Diceros bicornis minor: one gene and its partner. The protein of the gene in region 1 purifies or fractionates together with the protein of each later gene. This does not show direct contact. Links are inferred from orthologs where the notes say so. Each region holds a gene or a part of one and is shown on either strand. Other genes may lie near its edges. The genes, in order: CCT4 and TLE2.

Region 1 (15,641 bases):
ATCTGGTTACTTGTTTACTTATAATAGATCATGAAACTTCTAAGTTAGCCAGCACCACCTTTGGTTTTTCCTTCTCCCATTCTCAGGCAGAGATCTTTTTTTTTTTTCTTTGTGAGGAAGATCAGCCCTGAGCTAACATCCGATCCCAATCCTCCTCTTTTTTTGCTGAGGAAGATTGCCCCTGAGCTAACATCTGTGCCCATCTTCCTCTACTTTTTTTATATGGGACACCGCCACAGCATGGCTTGACAAGCGGTGCATGGGTGCGCGCCCAGGATCCGAACCTGCGAACCCCAGCCCTGCGAAGCAGAGTGTGCGTATTAACCGCTTGCGCCACCAGGCCGGCCCCAGACAGAGATCTTTTAATTGGGAGGGTTAGAAAGTGATAAAAATGTGAACTAGGAACCTTTCAGGGAAAATTAGGAAAATCCAAATATATTTAAGGAAAACAGGCTTCTGCTTCACGTTAATATTGCAAGCTAAACTTAAAAAAAAGTAATGACACAAATAATATGAATTAGGAAAATAGGGCTTAATGATGGTCTCAATAATATAAACTAATGCAGAAGAGAAGAAACATATATAATAACAATAAAAAATTATCTTTGGGGGTCCAGCCCTGTGGCTTAGCGGTTAAGTGTGCGTACTCCGCTACTGGCGGCCCGGGGTTTGGATCCGGGTGCGCACCGACGGACCGCTCGTCCGGCCAAGCTGAGGTGGTCCGGCCAAGCTGAGGCGGTGTCCCACATACGGCAACTAGAAGGATGTGCAACTATGACATACACCTATCTACTGGGGCTTTGGGGAGAAAAAGGAGGGGGATTGGCAATAGATGTTAGCTCAGGGCTGGTCTTCCTCAGCAAAAAAAGAGGAGGATTGACATGGATGTTAACTCAGGGCTGATCTTCCTCACACACACAAAAAAAATTGTCTTTGAAGTTGAGTGAAAACCTGAGAGAAGATATACCCACCCCTGCCTCCTTTTCCAATCCAAACCAGCTCAGTCCTATTACTGGGGGCTTAGCATGTGGTTCAGCATCCATCCTAGACAGAACCCTCACTTGGCTGGTTGGCCACGTATTACTGTTTTATAAAACCTATTTTACAAATCATTGAAGAAATTCCACAAGGCTGTTGTTATTGCCAGCATTCCCACATATGCCTTAAGTCTGCTTGGATCTCATAGGATTTTTTCAGTATTTCTATCCTTCACTAGTAACAGAGCTTTGTGTACATAAAGTACCCTACAAAAGTTTGTATGTTTTAATACTTACTGAAATCACATTCTAGTGGAGAATTAATATACATGAACACCTTTAAGTAATCAAATTTTTAGCATTTACTTATTGCTTAATCTCAGAAAGAAAAATAATTCCAATTTCAGTTGTCACAGCAAAAGAAAAATATTTATAACTTGAAAATTTTCAGGTAATTAAAACAACTATCCTACCCATGGAGACTGTCCCCAAAAGCCAATAATGGCATCTTCCAAATTCTGCTGTCCCCTACGGCTGACAGGTCTACATCTTACACTAATAAAACTGGTAGAGTTTAATAAGCCTTTAGAGATCATCTAGTTCAATCCTCCTATTTTATAGATGAGCAAAATGAGACCCAGAGAACTTAAGTGACTTGCCCAAGGTCACATAGCTAATAAGTAGCAGAGGTGAAACTCAAACCCAGGATTTTGGTCCCCCAAATTAATGCCACTTCCATCATTACACACTTGTTTCCATCTGACTTAATGTAAGTGTTGCCATGTTTGTCCGCTTGGTGACCCTAGGAAACCAACCACACTAAAAAATGCAGAGCAGCTGCTTGTGATGGGAACCGGCCTTTCTCCCACAATACTAGCTACAACTATTTAGGTTATAAAACTCCTGGGATGTCAAGGACAGACACAGACTGGCCATCTGTGTCGGTCCGAGATAAGTACCGGGAGTTACAGTACACGTACACACGTGATAATAGCAAGAAGGAAAAATACCAAATGTTCCCATAGAGATGGTCTCTAAATAAAAACACGCATAAAAGCAACTCACAATTCTGCTTGGGTGAGAGTCTCGCCTGGGGAGGGGACGCCTTGCCCAGGACCACTGTTGATCAGAACTCCTGCCTAGCCATGTCAATTCAAGGGATTCTCTGTGGATGTTGTAAGTACCCGATCTGATGTTTTCTCTTTTCGGTCAATCTGATGTTTCTCTTTTCAATTGATCTGTTGTTATTTCCCTCTTATTTGATCTATTTGGATCTGTTTCTATCTCGGTCGATCTGAACTTTCCCTTTTTGATCAACCTGATGTTTTTCCCTCTTGTTATTTGACCTATTCGGATATGTTTGCTGCCTTTGCCCTTACCCTTCCCTATATAATCTGTTTGCTGCCTTTGCCTTTACCCTTCTCTATACAATAAAGTATACATTCAGTCCATTCGCCTGGGTTGGAAAGTTTCTTTACATCTCCGATCCAATCCACCGAACCTCTCAAAACATAATTTGCACTGTGAGCGGGATTCCATTAAGGAGATGGCTTTCCTATTCAGACAAAGGGTAACTGAAACCAAGGTGGAGATTCCAGGTCCCGGCTGACGTCACCCAAAATAAAAACTCTTTCTTTGCCATAAGCCTGGCGTTTTAGTTTTATTTGGCCCCTCTTATGTGACAAATGGAGAGCCTGGATATGTGTCCAATAACAATTTGGCAGGCCAGCTGGGAGGCTCTTGCCCATGGCTCGGCGGCCCTGGGCCGGCTGGGATGTCCTGGGAAACAGTCCAGCAGCTGCCTAGGTGATTTGCCCTAGGGACTGTTCTCAGTGTTTTCCTTCTGACCCAGCACAGCTGACCCTGGGCACATTTTCTTATGACAGGGAAACAGGCTCTAAAATTGTTTGTTTGTTTTTGCTTACACCAAGAACTCCCTTCCACTCCATCTGGGGTCCTATCTCTTTGAGATGCAGGGCTATCCCTACTGGAATGGAAATAATTATAGGACTTTTACCCAAAATCTGTTGGGGGCACCTGTCCTGTTTGGGATCCCATCTGATTCTCTGTTCTGTACGTTTGTAATTTTGAAGGGGGGGGCCTCCATTTGTCCCCAGGAAAAGCTCTCTGGGCCACCTCTTGGCTAAATGGGCTGACTTCAGCTATGAGCCCACGTCCAAGAAAAAGATAATTTTTTCTTGTAACACCACATGGCCACAATATTCCACAGACTCCAGAGAGAAAGTGGCCAAAATGGGGCAATTTCAGTTTACCAAAACTGGTGTATTTGCTTATGCAATTAAAAAAAGCCAGGTAAAAAGTTAAACAACCAATGGGAAGCCTATTTTAATCTTTTGAGGCTTCTAAATAAAATCAGGAATACTGTACTGCCTCTTTAAAAAAAAATAATTAAATATTAAACATGCCAACAGCTGAAGCTAAATCTGCTTCTCTCTCCTCCCTTGCTGAGCTTCCCACTTCAACTCCCCCAAAATTCCTGATCTAAAATTAAGCAAGTGAAAATAAATAAACTTTTGAGATAATTTGAAATTATAATGGTCATTCTGGGGAACCTCTGTTTCAGACGAGTTCACCTTAAGGGTCACCCTTAAAAGAGAGGATTCAAAACCTCTCACGATGAGATGCAGTCTTTAATTAATATACAGAAACTTCTAAAAGACAAAGTTATTTCAAAAACACCTGTAAAAAGGCTTTACAACAAAAGAAAAAAATCTTTAGTAAATATTTTTGGCCATCTGAGCAGATCCACCTGCTAGAAAAACTGTTTGGATCTAACTGTTCTTCTGAGTTTTGTACCTGAGACCTGGCTAAAATTTTGAAGATCTCTGTTTGTGTTTATCTGTCTCTATGTGTATTTGTCGGCCTCCAGATGGTACAGTTTCTAAAGGAGCTCTATTTAATTGGCTTAGAGTAAACACTTTTACAAGTTATTTCTAAATATAATAAAAACTAGCCTAAATGTCTTTCAAGTTAACATAATATAATCTTTAATAAATAAAAACTTGTTTAAGTTTGTTGGTTTAATTAAAATAAATATGTTTTCAGAGTTATCAACATTAGATATAACACAGACATACAGCCTGGGTTTACTGATCAAAAGAGCTCATGTTATCTCTGTTACAAAATTAGTCAACAAAGGTAATAACAAAATAATAACTATTTCTGTCTGACATCTCATAAGGTTTTTGTAGACAATCTAAATATAATTATTGGAAATAAATAAACAAAATAGATGTAAAAAGGATAAAAGTTTTTGGGGCAACAGTTAGGCTACTCAGGTTAATAAGACTATAAAAATTAAAGTATTTAAGCTAATATTATATAAAGAGCTTATGTCAACTTTGTCTAAATGTGTTTTTTGAAAATAAATATTATATCTGGCTGGGAATGCTTTCCCTACACAGTATTGTAATACTAAAATTTGTTAATAAAATCTTAATAAAAGTAATAGAGATATAAAAGTAATAAAATTAAGATAAAATTTTATAAAAGTTGATATTTTTAAATGGGCTTTATATAAAATGATTACATCTCTGTGGTCTAATTGTATTATAAATTCATTATAAAAATAAACATTATGTCTCACTAAAAAAATTATAAAAAAACATATAATTATGGTGCCAAAACACAATTATTACTGTATTTCATGTTGATGCTCACAGTTCTTTAATTTCTACAGAACAAAAATATAACTCTTATGCTGATCAGCTGGTGCAAATTCGTGCAACACACAACCCAGACTTAACACAATGGATCCATGAAAAGAGTGGACACTTGGGAGAACAAGCTTCATACAGGTGGGCACAACAAAGGAGAATCCTTATCACCCATGATAATATTGCCACTGCAGTACAACAATGTCAATATGCCAATAGTTAAATGGGGAGTTCCACACCCCTACCAAGGTCATATCCAAAAGGGATTATTTCCCACCCATACATGACAAATAGATTTTATTGGACCATTGCCAAATTCTTGTGGCTATATTTACGTCTACACTGCTGTTGACACATATTCCGGCTATTTATTAGCTATGCCGACTAAAGCAGACACCCAGCAGAGTGCCATAAAATTATTAAATACAATTAAGTTGTACTATAAAACACCAAGACAAATTCAGAGTGACAACGGTTCCCACTTTACAGGTAAGTGAATACAAACCTATGCCAAAAAAAAATTATATTAAATGGATATATCATATTCCTTACTAACCCCAAACTGCTGGTCTAATTAAAAAAATAAATAAATTGTTAAAACAACAGCTACACAAATTAAGTAAAAATTCTTTACAAAACTGGTATGCACATTTAAACGCTGCTTTGCATATTTTAAACAATAGGCCTATAGGACCTAATGACACACCTTTAACTAGGTTACAAAAAGAAGACAAAATTGGACAACTACTTATCCTTCCCCTAATAACACCACAAATAAAAAGGGGGAGCCCTCCCTCAATTTTATCCCCCCCCAAAAATTACAAGGCTTCAACTCAACATATGGTTGAAAACCTAGAGCCAGTTTGAGTTACACACCCTCCGCATACTGCTTCCCAAGCGGCCAAAATCATAGCACAAAGAACCACAGCCACCCTAATTGTTATATACCCCAAAAACAATAATCTATATCATGTTCCTAAAAATGCTGTTTCTTTATGTGAATAGGTACTGTTAATCAGCTTGCTGATTGCTGCCACAATGAGCACCTCCTGTTTTCTTCGGACTGCTATGCCATTGAACGTCATGGTTGGACAACCACTGCTGTTGCAGTGCTAGACAGACTGCTTCACGCCAGTTGGACCTGTAACTTGGACATTAAATAAACAGACTATTTGGTCACAAAGGCTGATTTTCACCTCGTCATATCATAACATTTCTGACCAGTCACACAGACAAAATACAAATTATTCCATCCTTTTACCTGCTTCCACTTTATGAAGTGGAAGATTTTATTCATACATTGAGTAAAAAAAAAGGGAAACCTAACTCTCCATATATAAACAATACTGCTTTTCTCAGCATTTTACCAAATGCCACCAACACTCTAGGTAACTCTAATATTTGGCTTCATTTGGCTAACAATGTTCTTAATGTTACCTCTTTCTGCTTGCGCAATAATAATGATCCTCCCAGTTTACTCCAAGCTAACTTGCTAGGATTAGGTCTACCCCATAGCCATACTTTTACTTCATCTGTTAACGCCAGTACTTCATTCTCCCTATCCTCAATTCCTATTTCTAGTACTACCAGTACCACTTGTTATTCCCTTAATTGCACTTATATCCCTACCTATTGTAATCATACTGTAACCCCTTGCGCCACATCTGTAACTTTTCCTACAAAACTATTTTGGCTATGCGGTGATCAAGTCTATTGATATGTTCCAAAAAATACTTCAATGACTTGTGGAGTAGGAGTAATAATACCCCTGCTTGCTACATATCCCAAAGAAAGAGTTCGATATAAGAAAACTTTAACTCCAGATTATGATCCACATGTCAACTTATTACCAATATCCACAGTGACAATATTAGCTACCCTGTTGTTACTCGATCCAAAATTAATTGTAAATAATCACAAACAAATTAAACATCTGTCCTGTTTACTCACTCATATTATGAATGACACTGTTAGAGCTTTATTTACTATTTCTAAAAAAATTACAAGAGTTATAAAGGGAAACATTGATTCAACAAGCAGCCAGCAGCGCTAGATTACCTTTTCCTATTACATAAATTTTCATGTATTCAAATACCAAAAATATGTTGCTTTAATGTTACTAATAAAACCTCTACTTTAAATTCTATAATCAATGACTTACAAAATCAAATTGATAACATTTCTTATTCCAAAAAATTGTTTAAGTGGTTACCCTGGCATATGGGATCTATTTGTTCTGATTGCTTTCTATTTGTCTTATGCATCGACCTTGTAATCACAGGATGTTTTATGTGTAGCTGTGTATAAAGTTCACTGTCCATGCGGCTGGTTTCTTACGGATAACCAAGTGGCCACGGCCAAGATGACAACATAAGTGTTGCCATGTTTGTCCGCTTGGTGACCCTAGGAAACCAGCCACACTAAAAAATACAGAGCAGCTGCTTGTGATGGAAACCGGCCTTTCTCCCACAATACTAGCTACAACTATTTAGGTTATAAAACTCCTGGGATGTCAAGGACAGACACAGACTGGCCATCTGTGTCGGTCAGGGATAAGTACCAGGAGTTGCAGTGCACATACACACCTCATAACAGCAAAAAAAAGAAAAAAAACAAAAAACAAAAAACCAAATGTTCCCATAGAGATGGTCTCTAAATGAAAACATGCATAAAAGCAACTCACAATTCTGCTTGGGCGAGAATCTCGCCTGTGGGGGGGACGCCTTGCCCAGGACCACTGTTGATCAGAACTCCCGCCAAGCCGTGTCAATTCAAGGGACTCTCCCCCACGCGGCGTAGATGTTGTTAAGTACCCGATCTGATGCTTCTCTTTTCAATTAATCTGATGTTATTTCCCCTCGGTCGGTCTGATGTTTCCCTTTTCGATCAATCGGATCTTGTTATTTGACCTATTCGGATCTGTTTCTATCTCGGTCGATCTGATGTTTCCCTTTTCGATCGACCTGATGTTTTTCCCTCTTATTATTTGACCTATTCGGATCTGTTTGCTGCCTTTGTCCTTACCCTTCCCTATATAATCTGTTTGCTGCCTTTACCTTTACTCTTCCCTATATACTAAAGTATACACTCAGTCCACTCGTCTGTGTTGAAAAGTTCCTTTACGCCTCCAATCAAATCCACCAAACCTCTCAAAACACCATCATACCACATCGGTTGTCTTAAATAACTATAGAATGTTCATAGGCCAAGATAGAAGTAATCTGGTCCTTTGAAGTCAGTCCCAGAGGCTTACGGATGGCAGAGCACCTAGGAAGCCTCATCTTCTAGCGCTAATACACTGAATGCTATAAACGCTCCTCAGGATCACAGGATTAAGTACTTGGAACAACTGTTCCTGTACCTATCCAGGCATCTGTTACTTTATGGGTGCTTAATAATTATTTGTGAATGAATACTGAATGAACCTCACCTGCATAAACTTCCATATTAAAATACAGTGGTAATAAGAGCCCAGCAGTTTAGCTCATGACCTCTGAAGTCATTGCTCTGTACTGGAATACTGCTTCCATCTACTTACTGGTACATTGGGCTTCAGTTCTCTTTCTGCTGCGGCTCCTTTATCTACTAAAAAAATATAAAGGCAACTGTTTCATAGGCTTGTTGTGAGAATTGAGATAAAACGTGTAAAGGGTTTAGCACTGCGCCTAGCGCATAACTGAACTAAATGATCGTTTATTAAAATACTTAGGTTTCCTAAGAGTCAATGGCTACGTTAGGTAGAACAAACTAGTGTAAAACGAGGAAGCTGTACTAACCAGACAGTCCCGATTTGGCAGGCAATCATAGCTGCAAAACTTTTAAGACTGTGGTATTCAACCAGTGTATATTTAAATCTCTACTACCCAGTATTAATCAATACGAGACAACCAACGCCAACCCTTAAAGCAAAGGAAAGCAGCCAGCCCTCCCAAATCTCTCTTTCGACCCCCCTTTCACAATGAATAAAAGTGAATTAAAAACAGCTCTATGCAGCCCCACAAAAACCGGCTCAGCCCCAACCATTCGGGAGCAATCTGGGTACGGACACCACCTCGCGGACAGGTCTAGCTTGACTTAACGGAAGGGACCTCATGGCCAGGGAGTGGGGTGGGGAGATGTGGGTGTCCCAACTCCTGCCTTTACAATCGCGGGTTGTCCTTTCTGCCTCGTGTGAGTCAGCCCCACCGCGCCCCCGACCCCCTGCGCCCTGCGCAACATCCCCTGCGAGTCCCGAGCTCCCCGACGCAGTCGCTTCACCCGGCGCGCAGGGGGCAGCCTGTGACGTCATGCCGGCGCCGCGCCGCCAGGCAGGCCCCTTTCTCAACCTCCTCCTCCCGGCGCCGGCTCCGTTTTCTGGAAGATTCGTGAAGGTGGGGGACGCCCACTGTTAGTCTGCGCCGAGCCGGAATCCGAGTCCATCCGTCCTTCCTGGGTCCGCGCAGACCCCGCAAAGCTTGCCATGCCCGAGAACGTGGCACCCCGAAGCGGGGCGCCCGCCGGGACTGCCGGCGGCCGCGGGAAAAGCGCCTATCAGGACCGCGATAAGCCGGCCCAGATCCGCTTCAGCAACATCTCCGCGGCCAAAGGTATCGCCTCCCGGGCTTTCCCCGCGGCCCTGCGGGGTCGCGCTCCGCACGGCTCATTTTCTGTTCTAGGTGATCCCTTCTTGTCCTCCCGTAGAAGCAGCTCTGTGAAGGGACCCTTCTTTCTGTTTTTTGCGGAGAATTCCAGACCCCAAGTATGGAGGCCTTTGGACTTGCCCCAGTCTGGGTCTTAGACGGCCATCATTTTCCATCCTGGGTTGTGCACCATTTATCACACTTCAGCAGAAAGCGGCCGAGGCCCGCGTGCGGCGGTCCCTTGGGATCTGACACTTAAGAGCTGTCGCTTATCTGCTGACTAGGTCCACTAGTAGAATGTTGTTTGCACAGTACTTTCCAGTTTTCTTCTTACAAAAATATCATTTAAGTAAGCTTTTCTCGGCGCAGCTATTGAAGCGAATCTGGTAAACTCTCCGCGCTTCAATTGTGGCGGGGCCCGTTGTACCGGGGTGTGGGGAACCGACTTACCCAACTCGTTTGAGAATAATTATAAAAAGCTACACTGTGCTTTTGTGTCCTCTCTGCGTGTGCAACCGAACACCAGCAAATCGAGACATAGGGACAGTTTACCTTTTTTGAAGAACAGTGTTCGGCTCTTGGTGGAAATTAAGACGACCTGAGTTGCATTCTATTTACATTATTTCGTGGCTTTTGTGACCTTTAATCTCTAGCCAAGCTTTCGTTATGTGTAAAATTGAGGAGGAAAATGTTCGCTTCTCTTAGAGTTGTGAGGATTAAGAGAAGTCTGGTTGAGATAGAAGAGTCTGGAAGGAAAAGTGAGAACAAAGGCTTAGAGATCTTGCCCGTGGTGTGTCTTGAGTACAGTGAGTATTTCTTTCGGTGAGAGAATAAAGTGCACGAAGAAATGAGAGGTGAGATTGGAAAGGTGGAATGGGGCCAAATCTTGAAGGGCCTGGTGTCCTGGAAAGGGTTTGGCGTAGCTCCTGCACTACAGCTGTTCTTCGTCGTAATGAGGTAAGAGCTAACCTGTACGCTTGCTGTGAGGATTAAAGAAGAAAGCACATAAAGAGCCACGGATATAAAGTACAGCCTTACAGGTATTTGAGGCCATCGGCCCAAGTCACTGCGCGCGTGATGGTGATGCTAAAAGAAGTAGGTACACTGGAGGAAGGATGCTGGAAGAAGAGAGAAGAGGTTGTGGTTTGGGCCGAATGAGTTGGAGAGGTCTGAGTGACCAGATGGGTAGATTTAGGAGTCATTTGAAAGTTCAGGAGAGAATGTATACCTGGAAATAAAATTTGGTAGATAGTTGTCTAGGGAGTGTAATTGAAGCTTAGATTGATTACATTAGATGTCAGATAAATTCTGGGGCGCGTGGAGGGTCAGAAGAGCTAGATAATACAGTAGATTGTCAACGAAGAAGGAAGATACAGAATAGGAGGTTTACTGTAGTAACCTTTGAAACAGCAGTGCACAGAGAATTGAGACTGGGCAAGAGAGGTATGCATGTAGGAACGAAATGTCACCTAAATTGTCTAGGAACTTGGCTCTATATCTTAAGTGAGGGGAACTCATAGAGCAAAGGGGCACGACTAGTCTTTCCAAGTCGGACAAAACCCTACAAATTGAGAAAAGCTGCTGCCAGGTGCATGTTTAGTTTAATTTGGGGAGCCAGGTTTTTTTTTTTTATGTTACCAAAAAGATAATCCCATTGGTTGATGCTTTGAAAGACCACACACATGAAAGTAGTAGTAGTTCTAGTACTCTTCAGCATGAGTCATCCACACAGTATGCTAAACTTCAGACACCTTCAGAGATGTAAGCTGTCTGAAATCTTATTTTTTGAATAGTGTGTTATTCTAGAGTCTTCACATAGATGAATAGAAGGGCATTCTAAAATGAATCGGTCTGTTTATAGGATAATCGTCATGGAGGTCAACTAAAATCGCTTGAAAGGGTAAAATTGACTTGATAATTAGGAACAGAAGCCCCAAATTATGAAATAATTAAGTAGAAAATAATTTTTAAATTATACCAGGTATTTTCTCTTAAGCTCTTTAAGATTGTGTATTATTGTTCACACAATATGGAGGGAAGCATTGTGGTAGTTGTGGAGTATACAAAACTGGGGCACAATCTCAGGCCTCTGTAGATGGGGTGAGATGGTATGTGCGAAAGGGGAAGATTTAATCATTTGTCCTGGATTTGTCAAAGACAAGGGGATCAAGTACTGTTCGTCAATTCCAATTTCTCTAAGAAAACAAATGGATTAATAAAATAGAAATATTCTCATGGACAAGTAATAAGAATAAGTAACTTTGGAATGGTAGACTGTATATCCAGAGATGTTTCATAACGTACTAATGATGACCAAAAGCTATGATTTTAGTTTTTGTTTTTTAGTTAAGGTTTGGGTCTTTTGTTTGTTTGGGGTGTTTTTTTTTTTTGGTGGGGCTTGGGTTTTTGTTCTGGGGTCAAAGGGTATTTTTTTACTTGGGCTATCCATATTCTAGCTTCACAATAGCAAACAAAAGTCTTTACCCTCAGAAATTATGCTCTGTAGTTAGAGGAGACAGAGAGTAAACAAATAAGTGAATTATATAGTATGTTAGGAGGTCTGCTTGTTTTGTTTTAAGGAATGGAGAAAAAAATAGTCCTCAATTAGCACATAACTAGATTGTACCATTTTGATGTTTAAAGGAAGATTAGGTAAATCCTTAAAATTTATTCTGCCATAGGCGGAACACAAGTATTACGTATAGTGAGTTTAACAACAAAAGGTGAAGTGTCATACAATTAAAGGAGTAACATAATTATTTTGTTTCCAGTCAATTATTATTAGACAATGAATTTTTTTGGTGGACACAGTGAACTGTTGTACACCATATCCTAATAGAGAGAAAATGATTATTTGAGGAGAGAAATGGGTTGTTCTTTAGAGTCTTGATTTCTTCTTTTTTTTTTTGGTTTACAGCTGTTGCCGATGCAATTAGAACAAGCCTTGGACCAAAAGGAATGGATAAAATGGTAATCCTTCATTACTTAATGGGTGCTACCATCCATACTGCATGATCTCTATAGAGAGTCAAAATGTGCTGTTCAAAAAAGTAAAAAGTATTAGAAGGTACTTTTATAGTTCAGAAGAGGGATAGATTACTTTGGGGTGAACAGGATTTAACTATAATTCATATTTTGGTTTTTAGTGCTTTTTAAGCAATGAAAGTACATACACAAAAGTAGTTATCTGTTGTGTAGTTAGATGGAAAGTATAGTAAGGCTAGGTGTCAGGGCTTCAGTTCAGTGTTCCTTATTGATGTAACTCTGTGACCTGACACAAGTCTATGGGATTTCAACTCTGCTTCTAGCTTGGTTGACTGGCAGCATAAAACAGATACATTCCAATAACTTTTGAGTAATATACCCTCAAATTTAGTCCTAGTTAACATCCAAAATGAGAGATAAGGAAACAATATGGAGGATTGTCTGGATGATATACAGATCATTATTCCCTCTGGATATTTTAAAGTCTGTTCCTCCTAGTTATGCTGTTGCCCTTTGTTGAGAGTACTAAGAAGCACATTAGTGTGTTGACTATAAGAACTGTTTTCACCACATTCGTGGTACTGTCTTTTTGAGGATCCATGGTATTGCTTCTTATTATTAATAAGAACCCAGGAATGATAGTGATTCTTTATGGTATCTTTTTTAGTGTCTAGATTCGTTCACATTTAAGTATCCTGGAACAAAGCCAACTGTTTCATGTGTAAAGTTGGACTATTACTGAATACTTTTAAATCATTATACAGCAATGTGTTGCTTAACAATGGGGCTACGTTCTGAGAAATGCGTCATTAGGCGATTTCATCATCGTGTAAACATCAAGAGTGTACTTACAGAAATCTAGATGATACAGCCTTACAGTTAATACATAAACCAGTAACAGAGTCATTTATTATCATTATCAAGTATTATATACTATAGTTAATTGTGTGTGCTATACTTTTATATGACTGGCAGCACAGTAGGTTTGTTTACACCAGCATCACCACAAACACTTGAGTAATGTGTTGCACTAAGACATTATGACTGCTACAATGTCACTAGGTAATTTTTCAGCTCCATTATAATCTTATGGGACCACCATCTTATATGTGGTCTGTCATTGACCGAAACGTCATTATGCAGCACGTGACTATACTAATGTAAAGGAAGATAATTTGAAATTAAGCACTATGCAAACATGAATTAATTTCTCTACTAAGAAATAGTCAAGTTAGTAGAGCTAATTAGGGTGTCACATTAATGCTGGGTAAAGAAAACAAAATTTTTGAAATGTAACTTACTGAAAAAACCAAACTTACCAGATTCAAGATGGAAAAGGTGATGTGACCATTACAAATGATGGTGCTACCATTCTGAAACAAATGCAAGTGTTACATCCAGCAGCCAGAATGGTAAGTATAATTTTTAGGTGAGTTTTTTTTTGTTTTTTTTTTTTTAAGTGTATTGTTTGATATTTGGTATACAGTTAAATTTGTTTTATGTGGTCACATGATACCATTTGAGCATGGTGAAAATTTTTTCTCCTTATGCAAGACGGGTGTATTTTTAGGGTACATTATATGTCTAACTCTTCAGTTCAAGGTCATAATAAAACATGAATCATCTTGTCCTTGTCCACAGGGGAATGTGCCATACAATTGAGGAAGGAGGAGATAAAAATATGAAATGGTACAAATTGTTCAATGAGTGTTAGCTAGAAGAGAGCAAAATAATTTTAATTGTATGCAAAATGAATCGTGTCTAAACTTGCACTGATGTTTATAAAAAACAATTACCCATTTAACTAAGGATCATAATGATGATTCCAGTGTCAAGTGAAAAGTTACCATATCAGCAAAAGCAAGTTCCTTAGAAATTTCTATCCATTAAAAAGTTCCTCTTAATTATATAGAGATGACTGAACATGAATCACATTGTGCTTATACTGGGTCAGTTCAGATAAACTTGGCAAAAGACTCCAAACTGGCACTCTACTCTCCTCTGAGTGCCCCATTTCATAGCTTCCAAATCTACAGGGTACCTATGGTACAATATCATTTATGCTTTCTGACAGGAACTTGTAAGTAGCTGGGAAGAAAAAATTTACAACCCACAGTCTGAACTGGAAATCATAACTTCTTATAGAGAAAGTATATAAGTAGAGTTTTGTGTGCCACAAATACATGTTGTGATTTTTTCAACAATACCCAAGATAGACAACAAATAGAAGTGAAAAATTATATTAAATCTTATAGTGTTGATAGTAATCAATATAGTGTTGATAATAAATTGTGAAACTGATGTGATGGCCATTGATGTTATATTTAAATTAGAGGATATTAGGTTCTCAAATTTCTCACTGAGCAACTTGACATGTTCTGTTCACTTAGCTGGTGGAGTTATCTAAGGCTCAAGATATAGAAGCAGGAGATGGCACCACATCAGTGGTCATCATTGCTGGCTCTCTCTTAGATTCCTGTACCAAGCTTCTTCAGAAAGGTAGGTAGGACATAGGACATGCTTTATTACTGAATAAAGGCAAAAAGTTCAGTAATAAGAGATTTAAGATTTAATTTGGAATAGCTAATCTTTTTATTAGGAATTTTTAGATTAAATTTTGCTGTGATTATCATGAATTAGAAAATTTTTTCTTTTTGCTTCTGTTTTTTTGCCAGGCTTCTGGCAAAAATGGAACTTGATAAAATTTTGCTTTTCAAAACTGAGTGGTGATGGTGTTACTAATCTTAGGCTGTGGATGAGATCAGTGATTTGAGAGAGAGAGAATGGGTTCTTGCTTTGGTAGATAGTGCTTAATCATATTAGCGACTCTCAAGTCACTTATTCTACTTATGTACATTTGTGGTGTTTTGAAAAGTATAAAATTGGTTTCAGTCTTTTTTTTTTTTTTTTTTGAGGAAGATTGGCCCAGAGCTAACATCTGTTGCCAGTCTTCCTCCTTTTTTCTCTCCAAAGCCTCAGTAGATAGTTGTATGACATAGTTATACATCTTTCTAGTTGCTCTATGTGGGACAGCGCATCATCATGGCTTGATGAGTGGTGCGTAGGTCTGCGCCCAGGATCCGAACCTGTGAACCCCAGGGCGCCAAAGCAGAGCACAAACTTAATCGCTGTGCCACCAGGCCAGCCCCGGTTTCAGTCTTAAATATCACATGAATATGTAATTGATCTGTTCCAAATTAAATGGAAATAAATTATTAGCCATAATTAGCAGTTAAGGTTATTGAAACCATTATAACTGAAGCCTAAGTTAATTTCTAGTTAAGAATAATTAAAAATTTGCTTTGAAATTTTAATGAAAACTTTGAAGTCAAGTCAAATATGTAGTTTATTTGTTACAATAAATAACTAAACTTTCACAAATG
Region 2 (15,275 bases), on another chromosome or scaffold:
GGCCCTCTCCCGGGCTATCTGCCCTTCTCTGACTCCCTCCGCCCCCTGCCTCTGGGTGGCCTGCGTCTCCGCGTCCAGCTCCCTCTGCCCTTCAAGGTCTTCCTGGCTGTCTCTCCCCTCGCCTCCCTCCTCTCCCCGTGCGCCCGCTCTGTGCCCCCCTCCCCTCATCCCCGCCTCGCAGCCGACCTCCCCCTGCAAACCTCTCCCACCCCCAGGCCCCCCTGCCCTGTCGCTGGGCGCCTGCCAGGCCTGGAGGCCCGCCCCTCCCCCTCCGCCTCCTCCCGCTGCGTCCCCTCCCCCTCCTCCTCCCCCCCTCCTCCTCCCCCCTCCTCCTCCCCCCCCCATCCCGGCCCCGGGGAGGTGCCCGCGCTCCCGTCCCCGCTGGGCCTGACCGGGCCTGTCGGGGAGCGCGCTGGGCCGGCCCGCGTGCTAATGGTGGGCTCCCCGGGGCGGGGGCAGGGGCGGGCCACCTGGCGCTGGGCCCGGCCTGGGACGCGGGAGGGGTGGCCCCGGGGCCCCTGAACAGCAGCCGCAGGACGCCCACCCTGCGCGCGCCGCGCTGTGTGACCTTGGGCAGGGCTCTAGGCGTCTCTGGGCCTGGCCGCCGTCCCCTCTACCCCCCACTCCCAAGCCGGAATTTATTAGGTGCCTGGGGCCCCGGATAGAGCCCCTCTCGACCCTCGTGGAGCCCACAGCCTGGTGAGGGGGGGGAGACAGACAACACGTAAGCCAGGGAATAGGATAATGTCAGGGAACAGTCAAGTGCCAGGGAGAGAAAGGCAGCACCGGCAGGAGACGGAGGATGACAGGGGGCTGCTTAAGCCGGAGATGGGAGGAGGCCCCTCCCAGGAGGCGACATTTGAGCTGAGACCTGGGTGACAGTCGGAGCCTGCCAGGGGGAGACGGCTGCAGGGAGGGAGGGTTCCAGGCGGAGGGGGCTGCTGGCTCTGCAGGGTCCCCGAGCCTCCAGCCGGGGTCAAGTGAACACACCAGCGGCGGGAATATGGGGGGCAGTAGGGGTCACGGTCAAGGGCTGGGCCCCTTTGCAGATGAGCAGACCGGGCCCAGCGAGGATTAAAGGTTTCAGCCAACCAGAGGGAGGGAGGAAGTGGAAGGTGAGGCCGCGACTTGGAGGTGGCTTGGGCAGGGACAGGTGCAATGGCCAGGAGACCCCAGGAGCATAAAAATAGGGGTCGCCTTTGGGGTGCCAGCTCCTGCCCTGCTCCCCCACCGGGGGTCGTCCCTGCCGGGCCCTGCACGCTCTCGCACAATAATAAGAGCAAAGGCCGGTTCATCTCTCCAGCTGTTTGATCCTATGAGGATCAGATAAAGAATTTCTATCATTTCCCCCATTTTACAGAATCACTGGACACAGTGGCCGAGGGGAGATTTGAACCCCGGGCCTCCAGGGGTGCTGTGATCTCAGGGTGCAGTCGCCCCCTGCAGGCCAGGTCAGCATGGGGCAGGTTGTCGGGGACTCTGCAGCCCTGCTCTGCATGTTGGGGACCTGGGCACTGCCCCTTCATCCTCCTGCTATATGGAACAGGCACTGCATTGGGCCTGGGCAGACCATAAACACACAAGCACATAGTCAGTGTTCCAAGCGTGAGGGGGCTTTTGGAGGAAATGAAACGAGAGAGGCAGGGAGGGAGGTGGGGGCTACTGTAGCCAGGCTGGCCCAGTGAGGCCTTGCTAGGATGGGATGTTTGATCCAAGATTGGAAGGAAGAGGTGAGCCAGCCATGGTCCAGGCAAAGGAAACAGCCTGTGCAAAGGCCCTGGGGCAGGACTGGGCCTGGTGTGTTGGAGCAACAGCCAGGAGGCCGGTGTGGCTGCAGCAGAGTGAGTGTTACACCTCATGAGAGTTACACCTCATGTAAACAGAGGTGAGGAGTCTGGATTTTATTCTGAGGGTGATGGGGAGCTATGGCAGGTTCTTGAGCAGAGGGAAGGATGGGGTCTGATTCACATTTTAAAGGGTGATCAGAGATGTGGGAGGGATGGAGAGTGAGGGCATAGTCCAGCTGTGGGGTGTGAGGTCAGGGTGGCAGAGAGGGCCCTTTGGGGGCATAATGGGAGTACAGACGCCTGCCCTTACTGAGCACTTACTATGAACTGTTTTAAGTAACTTATTTGAAGATTCTAGTATCAACCTCGTTTTCCACACGAGGAGAGGAGAGCCACTGAGCCCAGGGCCATCCTGGACTCCCCCTCTCTTCTCCCCTGAGCTGCCCAGTTCTCGCCCGGCGAGAGGCTGGAGCTCTGAGCCCTCGGCCATCCTAGTGCCCCTGCCACTGGCTGCCACTTCCCTGACTCCTATCCGCCAGAGCCTACTGCCACTTCACAGACCCATGTGAAAGCAGGCAGAGGGCCTTACAGCCCGTGGGTGTCCACTTCCTCCCATTTCACAGCCAGGGAATGTCCAGAGGGCCACCCAGGCAGGGTCAGAGCTCAAGGGTCTTCACTCCCCCCGGGGGGGGGCCTTATGGTTGCCCCATCTTTCCTCTTCCACTTTGGGTTAGGGTAATATAAATGCACTGCTCAAAGGAAGCAACTCCTATGCATTCTGCAGAACCCCAGCTTAAACACTCCCTCCTGCCATCTAGGAAGCCTTTCCAATTTCCCAACAGGGACCTCCCTCCTGGTTCTGCCCCCACCCCCAGGCCGGGTGGCTCCCTCTACCCCGGCCCTGACCACACGGGGCTCCGAGTTTTCTCCTTGAGTCCCTAGCATGGTCTAGGCCTGGTTGCTCACTCGGGGGACCCCAGAGGGCACTGGTGTCATCCACGAGTCTTGTCCAACCATCTCCCTCTACAGGTGTGTAAACTGAGGCCCCAGAGGGGCCCTCAGGAGTCTCAAGGTCACGCGGGGGGGGGGGCGCTGGCACACGGGGGGGGCCCCCCATGTGCCTGGGTGGAAGGGAATACGTGAGTGATTTCTAGCGGCGGGAACGGAGGCCCAGAGGTCACCCGCGAGCCCTGGCAGGCGGGAGGGGACAGGCCTGGCTGGTGGCCCAGCGGCTCTGCGGGGGGGGCGGCAGGCAGAGGCTGGCGATGTCGGAAGCCAAAGGCCCGGCCTCCCCGAGGGAGCCGCGTTCCCGGCCCGGGTCGGATCAATGGGCTGTAATTATACCGCGCCGGGCCCGGAGCCGGCGGGGACGGAGCGGGAGCTGGCAGCAGCGCGGCGGCGGGCGGGGGAGCGCGGCCCGGAGAGGGCCCCACGTTACTTTGATTGACAGCAGCCCGGGCGGGCGCCGCGCGCGGGCTTCTGGGGATTGTAGTCTTTCCGAGAACCCCTGCTCCCTTCCCCTCTCCCGCCTGCGCGCGGGGAAACTGAGGCACGGGGACCAGCAACCCCCTCCCTGCCTACACGGAGGCCCATCCCTCCCCCGTCGGACCTGGGGACAATAACTGAGCCGTGCTGGGAGCCTCCGGGCTCGGGTGGAGGTCTCAGCTCTTCCCTGGCGGGGGGGGGGGGGGGGTCTAGGATGACTCAACGCCTCTCTGCCTCAGTTTACTTATCTGTGAAATAGGGCTAGCAGCTCTGGTTTTTGCAAGATAGCGTGTTGCACAAGGGACTCTTGTTTTTACGGGGAGACCCGCCAGGCTCAGGGGTGGGTTGCTTCTGCCTGTTTCTGGATACAATCGAGCCGGATCCCCGCCTCCACCCGGCCAAGCTCGCGCGTCCACGAGGGTCTCAGCCCCTCTCGGTGGGGGGAGCCGCGCTCTCCATACCCCGCCGGGAGCGCCTCGCCGCCTTCCGATTGGCCCAGCGGATCCCAGAGCCTCCTGCCATTGGTTGCCGGTTCCCCGAGCCCCATTGGCCAGCTCCCATTGTGACGTCACGGACCCATGTGGGAGCGCCGCGGGCGGATTGGCTGGCGCGCGCAGCCAACCACCGCGGAGAAAGGAATTTCCACAGTAGCTGGGGCGGTGAGGCTGATTTAAGGTGGTCTGAGCAACCCGGGGTCCCAGCGCTGCCTCTCGGCTTTTTCCTTTAAAAAAAAAAACAAAACAACCACATCCACATCATAAAAAGCCAGCCAGGAACCACCGGGGCTGAGCCCTTCTGTGCAGTGGGAGGGGAGAGATTGGAAGCTAAGCCCCTTCCCCCATTTGGCAGCGTCTTCCTGGATCTTGCAGATGGGGAAACTGAGCCCCAGGGAGGTGGGGCCTGAAGCCCCCCGATGGCAAAGGAGTTGGCTGGAGAAATGAGAAGGTTGTGCCAGGCGGCCCAGACTGTCACTCTCGCCTGGCCTGGCCAGTCCTTTCCCTGCCTCCTGCTCTGGCCGGATGTGCCATTTTAGCGAGTTATGGAGCCACAGGCCGCCTGGGGGTCCCCCCATCTCTCAGATTGCTCTCAGCGGAGCCTCCCCAAATTCTGCCCCCAAAACTGGGGATGCTGCTGCTCAGAACAAAACATCTCTTCCTTCCTGGCAGGTCACACACACCATCTCTCGCTGTGTGTGTGTGTGTGTGTGTGTGTGGTCTGTGGCCTCTCAGGCAATCCACAAATCTGTATTTACCCTCCCCTGTGGAGTGTGCCTGGCTGGGAGATCGAAAGACTGGTGGGGAAAGGAAAGGCCCCCTCCTCCAGGAAGCCTCCTCTGGACTCCCTCTGCAGAGGCCCCGTTCCCACTGTGGGGACCTCGCGCCCTGGGCGCTCCCTCTGTCCCGGCACTGACTGTGTGGGCCTGGGAGTGTGTGCTCTGCTCTGTCCCCCGCCCCCCACCCCTAGCTCTCCCTGCAAGGCCTGAGGCTGGCTGAGGGCCCAGCATCTTCCAGCAGAAGGAGGTGGCTATAGAATAAATGCTCACTTAACCACCAACATTGGGCTGAGGGAGGCATGGGGCAGGGGGAGATGCCTTTTGGAGGAGACGTTGGGACTTTGGAGGAGATGCGGGGAAGACATGCCTTTTTGCTGGGCCCTGAAGGCGTGGACTTCCTCCAGGCAGAAATGCAGTGGGAGGGAATTCCAGGAAGAGATAACAACGGAAGCAGAGACCCAGAGGTGGGAGAGAACACAGATTAGGTAATCTGGCTGGTGTGGCTGGAGCAGAGCGTTTGAACCGGTGCAGGGAGGCAAAACTGGGCGGGGCCGGCTGGTGCAGGGCCTCTGATGCTAGCCTGAAGATCTGGGAATTTGTCCCAAGGGCAATCGGGAGCCATGGGAGAGTTTTAAGTGAGGGAGGGCCAGGCTCAAAGGGAAGGTGATAAAAGTGAAGGCTGCTCAGAGTGGGGAGGTGGCTTGAAGTCCAGATGGGAGGTGATTAAGGGCTGGTGCGGGCGGGGGCTGTGGGGATGGGGAGGAGGGTTGCATGGCAGCTGAGGGGGAGCGAGGAGGCCCGGCTGGTGCTCTGTCTCTGGGGACCAGGGTGGACTGTGGGGCCTGACAGGTCTGGGGGAAGATGCCACGTCTAGTGGCCTGGGGGGCATCTGGGGGAGATGCTAGAGGTGGCTGCATCCACAGGGCTGGAGCCAGAGTTTGCAGTCACCCTCATGAAGGTGGTGAGTGAGGCCTGGAAAAGGATGTGGTGGCTTGGAGCCCAAGCAGCCAGAAGTGCGGGCTGCCCGAGGCGAGCAGGCTAAAGGGAAAGAGGAAAAGACAGGAATCAGGGCCACCGGCTAGGAGAGCATGCAGAAGGCGGGGTGGGGAGGCTGCTCTGGGTGGGGCTGCGGGATGAGGGTCCAGGCGGGGCCCTTGACTTTGAGGAGGTGGAGGGCTTTTGGCAAGAGAAGGCCCAAGAGGAGATCGGGGTGGGAAGGAGTAGAGGTGAGGAAGGGGGCGCCACGATTTGGACTAGCGGCCCAGGGAGGGGAGATGCTGTCTTCGCAGGGGACGCAAGACACCTCCTGGAAAAGTTCTGGAATTAGGACTTCACGGACGCCCCCAGAACCCGGAATCACGAGCCCTCGGCATTGTGGAATTGTGGTCCTCCCTGTTTCTTAGAATTTCCCAGCAGGAGTGTGGCCAGGGATCTCTGGCTTTGGCTGGATCGGCTGTTTCTGCTCCTCACTGACTGCCTGTGCATTTATCGAGCACCTACTGTGTGCCAAGCTCTGCACGGACCAAGACAGGCTCTGTCCACACAGCCTAGTACTAGGGGGGACAATGCATAGAATAACCCACAAAGAAACATAAACATATCAAAACAAATCACAAACCAAAATAAAACCTCTGATAGGAGCTAAAAAGAGAGAGAAAAGCAGTTGAGAATAACAGTATTTATTTAGAATAATAGCGTGGGGTGGGTGGATGCTGCTTAATGGGTGGCTGGGAGGGGACTTTCTGAGAAGGTGACATTTGAGCTGAGACCTGAATGGTGGGAAACAAGGGAACAGCATTCCAGGTGGAGGGAACAGTCAGTGCAAAGGCCCTGAGGCAGGCCCCTGTCTGTTCTGTTGGAGGAACAGCGAGGAGGCCAATGTGGCTGGAACAGAGGGAGTGAGGGTGAAAGGGAACAGAGTTGGGATCAGAGATGGGAGGGCCAGGAGGGGGTTTGTGCAGGGCCTTGTGGGAAGAGGGAGGAGTTTGGATTTTATTTTGATGGCAATAGGGAGCTATTGAATGCTCCTTCCGACACACTCACACACACACACACACACACACACACACACACACTATCCCCAGGATCTCTCTTCCCCTCCCTTCCGGGCTGCGCATCTTTATCTTTCAGGTCTCATCTCCTACATTAACCTCCTGAGAGAGGCCTCTCCCGGATGCCCCAGATAAGGAGGTTCCCTCCTGCTGATCTCCACCACTGCTCCCTAAATCTTCCTTTAGACACACAGATAATTCCATCACTGCCAAGCTGTGATCTTGCCTTGTCCCTCGAACCCAGAGAAGGCAGGAGTCTGTCCTCCTTCATCCACCCTTGCATTCCTGGTGCCTGGAAGGCAGTCCATGCTCGAGAAGTAGCCCTTGGCTGGAAACGATGCTCTAAGCTTGAGAAGGGCTTGTGTGCACTTTTGTTCACTCACCCACTGACCCGGGTGCAAACATTAGCATGGGGCAAGGGCTTTTCCCTGTCTTGTTGTTCCCCGCTGAGCCCCAGTGCCTAGAGCAGTGGCTGGGCCATGGTAGGCACTCAAGGGGTGTTTGTTGATTGACTTAATGATCGACTCTGAGGTTTCTTGTATGCAAGATGGGAACAAGGACGTGGTACCTCCGGGGTGAGTGTGAGGGATGCTCGCTGGATGTCTGTAGTGGGAGGAGCCTCTGTCTGATGGCAGAGATTCCCTTCCCGTCCTCGCTGGGACCCCATAGTCTGAGAGGGGAGGCAGCCCCGTCTGCAGGTGGCGGCCACCGGAACACCAGCTCCCATCTCTGGGGCTGACCCAGTGCCAGGCCAAGCCGAGGGCTGTTCCAGTCTCATGCCTTTTAGAAAGAGCGCCTGCCTCTGCCACTTGACAGACGAGAATCCTGGGGGGGCCCGGGCCTGGCTCTGCCTCCCAGCTGGGTCCTCCCGGGGCCTTTGCACACGCTCTTCCTACCCCTGGCAGGCGCCTGGCCAGCCCGCTTCCTCCTCCCCCCGCAGTCTTAGCGCACTTGCCCAGCAAGGCCCCCAAAGCGCCCCCTCCCCACCGGGCTGCCTAGGTATTTGTTTATCTGTTTCTTGTTTTTCTTGGGGAGGGCGGGGGCGGGGCGGGCGGGGCTGGACGCCAGCCTCAGTTTCCCCGCCGGTTCCCCGGCCGAGGGGAGGGCGCGGGGGGCGCGCGGGCCGGTGGGCGGGCCGGGCGGCGGCGCCACCTTAAGGCGGCTCTGCCCGCGGCTCCCGGCCGAGCCCCGCCGGAGGGAGGCGGCTCCGCGCGGGGCCCGCCGCCCGCGCCTCCCCAGCCGGCCGGTCCCGACCCTCCGCGCCCGTCGCGCGCCCCCCGCGCGCCCCCCGCGCGCCCCGCCCGGGAGGGGCCCCGGCCACCCTCCGTCCCCGCCGCCCGCGCGCGCTCTCGGGGGCGCCGGGCACTCCGGGGTCCCCTGCCCCGCGCCCCCTCCTCCTCCTCCTCCTCCTCCTCCGGGCAGCCCCCCGCCTCCAGCCTCGCCGCCCACCCCCACATTGTCCATCCAGCTCGGCGGCGCGGGGGGCTTCCCGGATCGCCAGGATGTACCCCCAGGGAAGGCACCCGGTGAGTGGGGGTCCAGGCTGCGGGGCGGGGGCGGGGGTCCGGGGCGTCCCAGAGCTCAGACCCCGGCGACCCCCCCAGACCCCGCTTCAGTCCGGCCAGCCCTTCAAGTTCTCGATCCTGGAGATCTGCGACCGCATCAAGGAGGAATTCCAGTTTCTTCAGGCTCAGTACCACAGGTGAGGGGGGGCCCGCCCCAGGGGACCCCGGAGTCCGCCTGGGAGCCCCCCGGGAGAGGGCGGGGCCCGCAGGGGAGGGGGGCGGGGCCTCCAGGGTGCAGGAGGAGGGGGCCCCCCGGGGACGAGGGGAGGGAGGGCTTCCAGGTGGAGGCGCAGGTGAGCTTGGAGGGGGTCACTTGGCACTGGGACACTTAGAGCCTGCGAAGGGGTGGGAGGGACTGCGACCAGGAGGTGGGGGTGCGTGTGTGAAAAAGTGGGGAGGGGGAGAGCCAAACCGATCAGTTTGGAAACGGGCCCAGAAGGGGCGTCCGTGGGACTCCAGCTGGGGGGCAGGGGCAATGGGGTCCCAGCATCCTGTCTCCTTCCCAGCCTCAAGCTGGAATGTGAGAAGTTAGCCAGTGAGAAGACGGAAATGCAGCGACATTATGTCATGGTGAGGGGGGGTGATGGTGCCGGGTGGGGGGAGTGGGGAGGGCTGGGCTGTGAGTGAAACACTGGGGTGTGACGCCGGCCTCACTGTGCCTCTGCAGGGTAAGTCCCTGCCCCTCTCTGGGCCTCGCTTTTCCTGTCTGTGAAGTGGGCTGGTTGGGATTCCAGGCTGTCTCCCAGGGCCCTCCGGGCTCTTTAGAACAGGGAGGCAAGGATGTCCCCGCTCCACGGGCATCTCGGCGGGGCCAGGGCCACTGGACACCAGTGACCTGCCCCACCTCCCTGGAGAGAGTGGAGGGGGGCCCTGCATCCTCCTCTGGGCTTTCTCTCCGGGGTCCCACGGGGCTGGGAAGCTGCGGGTCCAGCCGGGGGGCTGTTGGAAGAGCCAGCGTCCCCCAGCGCAGGACTGGACGCGTCGGCCCGTGGACACCCGGCTGGCTTTCTCTTGCAGTACTACGAGATGTCCTACGGACTCAACGTTGAGATGCACAAACAGGTAGGTGGGTGGGGGGTGAGGGTGTTCAGGAGGGAGCGTGGGGGTCTGGAGGCTGTGACACGGCCCCAGCGCTCGGGCGGTCTGCGGCAAAGCAAATCCAGGGCACAGGGGTCTTATCCTGAAATCTCTGGGACCAGGGGGCCAGATTCCAGCCTCGTGAAAGGAAAAAGCGTCTGAGCTTCTGGAGACTCTGTCCAGCCGCGAGGCGAGCGGTGGGCAGGGGCCCACCAAGGAGGGCTCGTAGCAGAGGCCGGCAGCCGGGTCCGGGAGGCTGTGGGGATGCCCTCTGTCCCGGGAGGGGGCCGGCTGGACAGTCTGGGGGGCCCCTTTCAGCCCGGAGAGTCTGACCTTTGGATCCTGAGGGTCTGAGATGGACCCCGAGGTCCTGGGACTGTTTTGAAGGTTCTGAGATTGACCCTAAGGCTCTGAGGCTCTGAGACCCTCCTAAGCTTGTGCGTGTGGTGTCAAGGTTCTGAGATAGACCCAGAGGTTCTGAGATAGACCCGAAGCTTCTGAACTTGAGTCTGGTTGTCCCAGATTAATCCTGAGGTCCTGAGACTGACCTCTGAGGGCTTTTAATGGGATGAGAGGGGCCCCGAGATTCAGAATATCAGAATCAATGAGTAGAGCCTAGTGTCCGGGCTTCCTGGTGGGTGGGAAGAGGAGAGGAGTGGGCTGGGAGTGGGGGTACCTGGGGGTGCCCGCCCCGGGCATGCTTTCCGGGTATGTATGGGCTCCACTGGTTCTGGTGTGGGCCGGAGGGGGCTGTTGGCCTGGAGCGTGGCGTGGTCCCCTGGGTGCGTGAAATAGACCTCCTTATGGGGTGGAGGGCGTGGGGTGGGGCCTGGTTCCTCCCTCCTGGTGGGAACACAGACGCCACCCAGATGCACCCAGCACCCCTGTAATTCAGGCTGACTGTGCACAGCTGGATATGCCTCCCCACCCGCGCAGCCTCCCCTCTGCTCAGCTCTGTGGGACACCCCCCACCTGGACCCTGTCCCGGATGAAACCTACAAGTAAAACCACCCATTTCCCCTTTACTCTCTATCCTTCTGATGCCAAACGTGTGGCTTTTCCCCACACCAACCAATTCTCCAACTCCGACCCCAGCGGGGTGTCCCACAGTTCAGCTCGATTCTGACACACGACCCGGAGTTGGCGCAGACCCCACAGGTCCGGGGCTCGGCCGCACAGGACGGCCCCGCTTCGGACGCCGGTCCCAAGTCCGGGCCTCGTGTCCTTCTGACCAACTGGCTATAAATCCTGGTTCCCACGACCCGCTCTTCGGGTTTGATAATTTGCTAGAACAGCTTACAGAACTCAGGAAAGTTCTTGTTTACTATCACCCATTTATTGTAAGGGCTATAACTTAGGAACTGCCGGATGGAGGAGATGCTCAGAGCAGGGTGTGAGGAAGGGGCTCGGAGCTTCCGTGCCCTCCCTGGGCACCACCCTCCCGGCACCTCCCGTGTTCACCCACCCGGAAGCTCTCCAAACCTAGTATTGTAGGATTTTTGAAATGGAGGCTTCACTGCGTTGGCACGATTGATTAAATCATTGGCCATTGGTGGTTACCTCAATCCCCAGCCCCTCTCCCCTCCTGGAGGTGGAAGGCTGGGGCTGAGAGCTCCAGCCCTCTGATGAACTCAGGTGTGGGGGAAAGGGGGGCTTATTACAAATAGCAAAAGACGCTCCCCTTAGCCCATCACTCAGGAACCCCAGGGGTTTCAGGAGCTCTGTGCCAGGAACTGGGGACAGAGACCAAGTACATGTTTCTCATATCACAACATCACAAGCCTTCCGCAGTGTGGCGCCCGGGCATGTCACCTGGCTGCAGGTAGAGACCGCAGACCAGACCCAGAGAGGGACATGGGCCCAGCCAGGGCTCGAGCCCCCAGGACCCCGGCGGAGGCCCCTCGCCTGGTTTACGATGAACTTGAAGCTTCCCCGTGTCCCGGTCCGGCTGGGCCTCCGCTCTCTGGGACTCTGTCGGGCGTGTCTGGCGGGTGACGTGCCTGCGCTGGGCATCCGCCGGGCACGCAGCCTCCTCGCCAGGCCCTCCGTCGCTCCCTGAGCCCGTGCCTCGCTGGCTCAGTGCCCACTTTGCGCCTGCGGGTGACAGCCCCCCACCCTGAGTTTTGCAGAGGCTCGTTACGCCCTGGAGTCGGGGGGGGCTGTGTTGAGAGGCCCCCCTCCAAGCTCCCTCCGATTGCCTCCCGCCAGGCCGAGATCGTGAAGCGCCTCAGTGGGATCTGTGCTCAGATCATCCCCTTCCTGACCCAGGAGGTGAGTGGGCCTGGTGGGGGCGGCAGGGGAGCTGGCGGAAGATGGGGTTGTGGTGCGGTGGGAAGCTGCAGGCACCGGTCTGGGGGGGAGGACCAGCTGGGGCAGGGGCCGCAGGGATGGAGGGTTCCCTGAGGGTGAGGAGTCAGGGCTCCAAGCCAGCAGTCAGGCTGCCTGGGTCCAAACCCTGGCTGTGTGGCCTTGGGCAAGCTGCCTGCCCTCTCTGTGCCTCTGTCGTCGTGTTTGGACGAGCTAATACATACAAAGTGCCGAGGATGATGCCGGGTGCTTAGTAAACACCCGATAAAAGTTAGACCTTATATGACGCTGAGTGACATGAGGCAGACGCAGAAGGACAGACACTGTGTGATCCCCTCACAGGAGGCCCCTAGAGGAGTCACAGCCACAGAGACAGAAAGTGGATGGTGGGGCCAGGGGCTGGGGGAGGGGAGGGGAGTCAGTGCTTCATGGGGACAGAGTCTCAGTTTGGGGAGATGGAAAGTTCTGGAGACAGAAGGTGGGGAAAGTTGCACAACAGTGTGAGTGTGCTTCATGCCGCTGAGCTGTGCACTTAATGGTTAAAAGAGTAACTCTTATGTTTGTAACCACAAGAATAAAGAAAGATGGAACTATAGTAGATAAAAGCAATAAACAGTGTGAGCACTTTATTGAAACTTAGAAAAACAACGTAGCCCTCATGAGAATGCCCCAAGAGTCTTCCAGCCTCAGGACCTTTGCATCTGCTGAGAGTGGGCACAAGGTGGTCCAGGGTGAGGAGGGCAAAAACCGCAAGAAACGAGGGTCAGAAGACCCTTGGGGGGGGGTGAATGCAGACACACACGTGCCCCGGTGACTCCCCTCCTGTCCCCCCAGCATCAGCAGCAGGTGCTCCAGGCCGTGGAACGTGCCAAGCAGGTGACCGTGGGGGAGCTGAACAGCCTCATCGGGGTGAGTCAACCTGACCCTGCTGTGGGGGGACCCCACCCCCAGGTCCCTGCACCCCATCGGTGCTAAAGCCGGGGTAGTAGGTGGGCAGCTGGCCTGGGCTCTCGAGACCCCGGGGCGCCCCCTCTGCCCGTCCCCGCCGCCCCCGGCCCACCGCTCCTCGTCTCCAGCAGCAGCAGCTCCAGCCGCTGTCCCACCACGCCCCCCCTGTGCCCCTCACCCCTCGCCCGGCCGGGCTGGTGGGCGGCAGTGCCACGGGGCTGCTGGCCCTGTCCGGAGCACTGGCCGCCCAGGCTCAGCTGGCCGCGGCCGCCAAGGAGGACCGGGCAGGCATGGAGGCCGAGGGGTCCAGAGGTGAGTGGGCAGCGCAGGGTGGCACTGGCAGGGGTACGCGGTGGGGCACCAGACTCAGATCTAAGTGTGAGGGGATGAGTGAGGGGGGCTGCGGGGCCGTGGGGGTCAACTTTGCTCCACTGGCTGTGTGTCGTTGGGCGAGCTGCTGCCCCTCTCTGGGCATCTATCTGGATGGTGCGGAGAAGGGATAATCCACTCTTTGCAAGAAGGGAGATTCTGAGCTGGGAAGAGGGCTTTACAAACTGTGGAGGGCGGTACCCTCTGGCACCGTGAGACAAGCAACCCTCATTCTTTTCCTTCTGTCTCTCTTTTCCTCACTTCCACCCCTCCAGTGGAGAGAGCCCCGAGCCGGGTAAGTTGAGGGGCATCCGGGACTTGTGTGACATTTGCTTTGTATCCGCATGTGGCTGAAGCTGCTTGTTCTGAGCTGACGGGGGCCTCGGGCGGAGACCCACATCCCGCTTTCAAACTGTGCCGCCCAGAGCCTTTTGGTGCGGGAGATGCACATAAGGCTCGCATTTTATTTATTTACATCTTTCAATCTTGGAGCTCTTTTTGCAACTGAATAAATGCATGCATGCCCGTGGTAGCATTCCATCCGTCCTTCCCTTCAATACTGTTATCTACCAGAGCGCTGCCGGATAGAAATGTGATGTGAGCCCTGTATGTAATTTTTTAAAAAGTGTTTAATTTTGAAATAATTGTAGACGCACAGGAGGTTGCAAAGAAATGCACAGGGAGGTCCCTGCACCCTTGGCCCAGCTGCCCTCCAAAGATAACATCTTGTGAAACTAAAATACAGTATCCCATGCAGGAAACTGACGTGGGTACCACCCACGGAGCTTATGCAGACTGCACAGTTCTACACAGGTGCATTGTTCCTGACTATGTGCACACGTGCGTGTGCATGTGTGTGCGTGTGTGGTTCTATGCAGTTTCCTCCTGTGTTCGGGCTTGCGTAAACACCACCACAATCTCCAGGCAGTGGTAAATTTTCTAGTAGCCAAGTTACAAACAGTGGAACAGGTGAACTGAATTTCCATAGTCTGTTTTATTTGACACAATGTATCCAAATATTTCAACCCCTCCTCAACCTAAAACATTATTAAGGAGAGAGTTTACGTTCTTTTTCTTGTACTAAGTCTCCAAGGTCCGAATGTGTTTTGCACTTAGAGCTCATCTCAACTTGCAATAGTGCCACCTGGGGACGCTGGGCCATGTCTGGGGACATCTGTGGTTGTCACACTGGGGGAGCTCCTGGCATCACGTGGGTGGGGGCCAGGGATGCTGCTTAACCCCCAGAGCGCCCAGGACAGCCCCACAGAGAATGACCCGGCCCCCACGCCCAGTGCTGAGGGGGAGACCTTGGTGTATAATAGGTGTTTCTGCATTTATCTGTACAGAAATGGGCTCTTTCCTATAGAAATAACAGCGCTCGCTGTGTGCCGGGCACCGCTTCAGCTAAGCGGTCCATAGCTATTACGTCGTGTGTCTTCCCAGCGACCCTAGGAGGTCGGCACTATTATGATCCCCATTTTACAGATGAGGATGCTGAGACAGAGAGAGGTTAAGTGACTTGCCCAGGGTCCTGACCCTTCCTCCCGCCCGGCCCCGTCTCTCTGCAGAGCGCGTCCCCCTCGCCCCCTGAGAGTGTGGCGGAAGAGGAGCAGCCGGGCGGCCCTGGCGGCAACGGGAAGCAGAGGGCCGAGGAGAAGGATCTGTCGGGACCTTATGTGAGTGAGGGGCAAGGGAGGACTGGGGTGGGCACGCCTGGCCTAGACCTGCCCCTGGTCCTGCCCCTCGGAGCCTCCCAGAGCCCAGCTCTGCCCACGACTCTCTCCCTCCAGAGCCTTCCATAGCTCCCTATGGCTCATGGAGCACTGGCCAATCAGCAGAGAGCTTCCTCTGGGGCCTGGCTTAACTCTTTGTTTTCTCTAAGTCTCCAGAACCTCTGGACCACGCATCCATTTTCCCACCACCTGGCTTTTGCTCCGGCTGTTCCCTCCCCCTAGAACCCTTTCCCCCGCCTCTCAGAAACCAGTTTCCCCATCAAGGCACAAAGTGCTCCCTCCTGCAGGAAGCCTTCCCGGACCCCCTCCTTGGGGGCCGGGACCTTGTCTCTCATTGTCAGAGCGATTCCTGCACCTGTCGTTTCAAATTCTGGCGTCCCAGGGGCCAGGCGGAGAGTGAGGCCGGGACGGTGGCCAGCTGGGGGGCATTTGTCTGTCTAGAGGGGCAGCTGGGGCCGTCTGTGGAGGTGGCCTCCGGGCTGCAACCTTTGGTCTTCTCTTGGTTTCCAGCCAAACCAGAGGGCAGCCCAACATGTCAGTGTTTCCCCCGAGGACAATGGGGAGCCATAGAAGGCTGTAGAGCAGATGTGGGCATGGGTCTTAGGAAAATCTCCCTGGGGCAAGCTTGGAGGGCTACCTGGAGGGGACAAGGCTGCAGGCCAGGAGCCCAAGGAGGGGGT

Evidence for each region.
Region 2: the proteins of CCT4 (region 1) and TLE2 purify together in Homo sapiens (affinity purification with mass spectrometry; 3 studies listed by BioGRID and IntAct, with this or other methods). This does not show direct contact. The link is inferred for Diceros bicornis minor from reciprocal best matches to the Homo sapiens genes CCT4 and TLE2.

What each region holds. Positions count from the first base shown.
Region 1 is NC_080751.1:25,441,206-25,456,846, forward strand, and holds the start of CCT4 (T-complex protein 1 subunit delta), read left to right. Parts: upstream 1-8,986; 5' UTR 8,987-9,113; coding exon 9,114-9,240; intron 9,241-12,190; coding exon 12,191-12,243; intron 12,244-13,580; coding exon 13,581-13,670; intron 13,671-14,648; coding exon 14,649-14,757; intron 14,758-15,641. UniProt on the Homo sapiens protein: Component of the chaperonin-containing T-complex (TRiC), a molecular chaperone complex that assists the folding of actin, tubulin and other proteins upon ATP hydrolysis.
Region 2 is NW_026691553.1:2,361,696-2,376,970, reverse strand, and holds the start of TLE2 (transducin-like enhancer protein 2), read left to right. Parts: upstream 1-7,876; 5' UTR 7,877-8,098; coding exon 8,099-8,122; intron 8,123-8,200; coding exon 8,201-8,298; intron 8,299-8,667; coding exon 8,668-8,731; intron 8,732-9,178; coding exon 9,179-9,223; intron 9,224-11,446; coding exon 11,447-11,509; intron 11,510-12,379; coding exon 12,380-12,454; intron 12,455-12,621; coding exon 12,622-12,805; intron 12,806-13,137; coding exon 13,138-13,157; intron 13,158-14,430; coding exon 14,431-14,538; intron 14,539-15,275.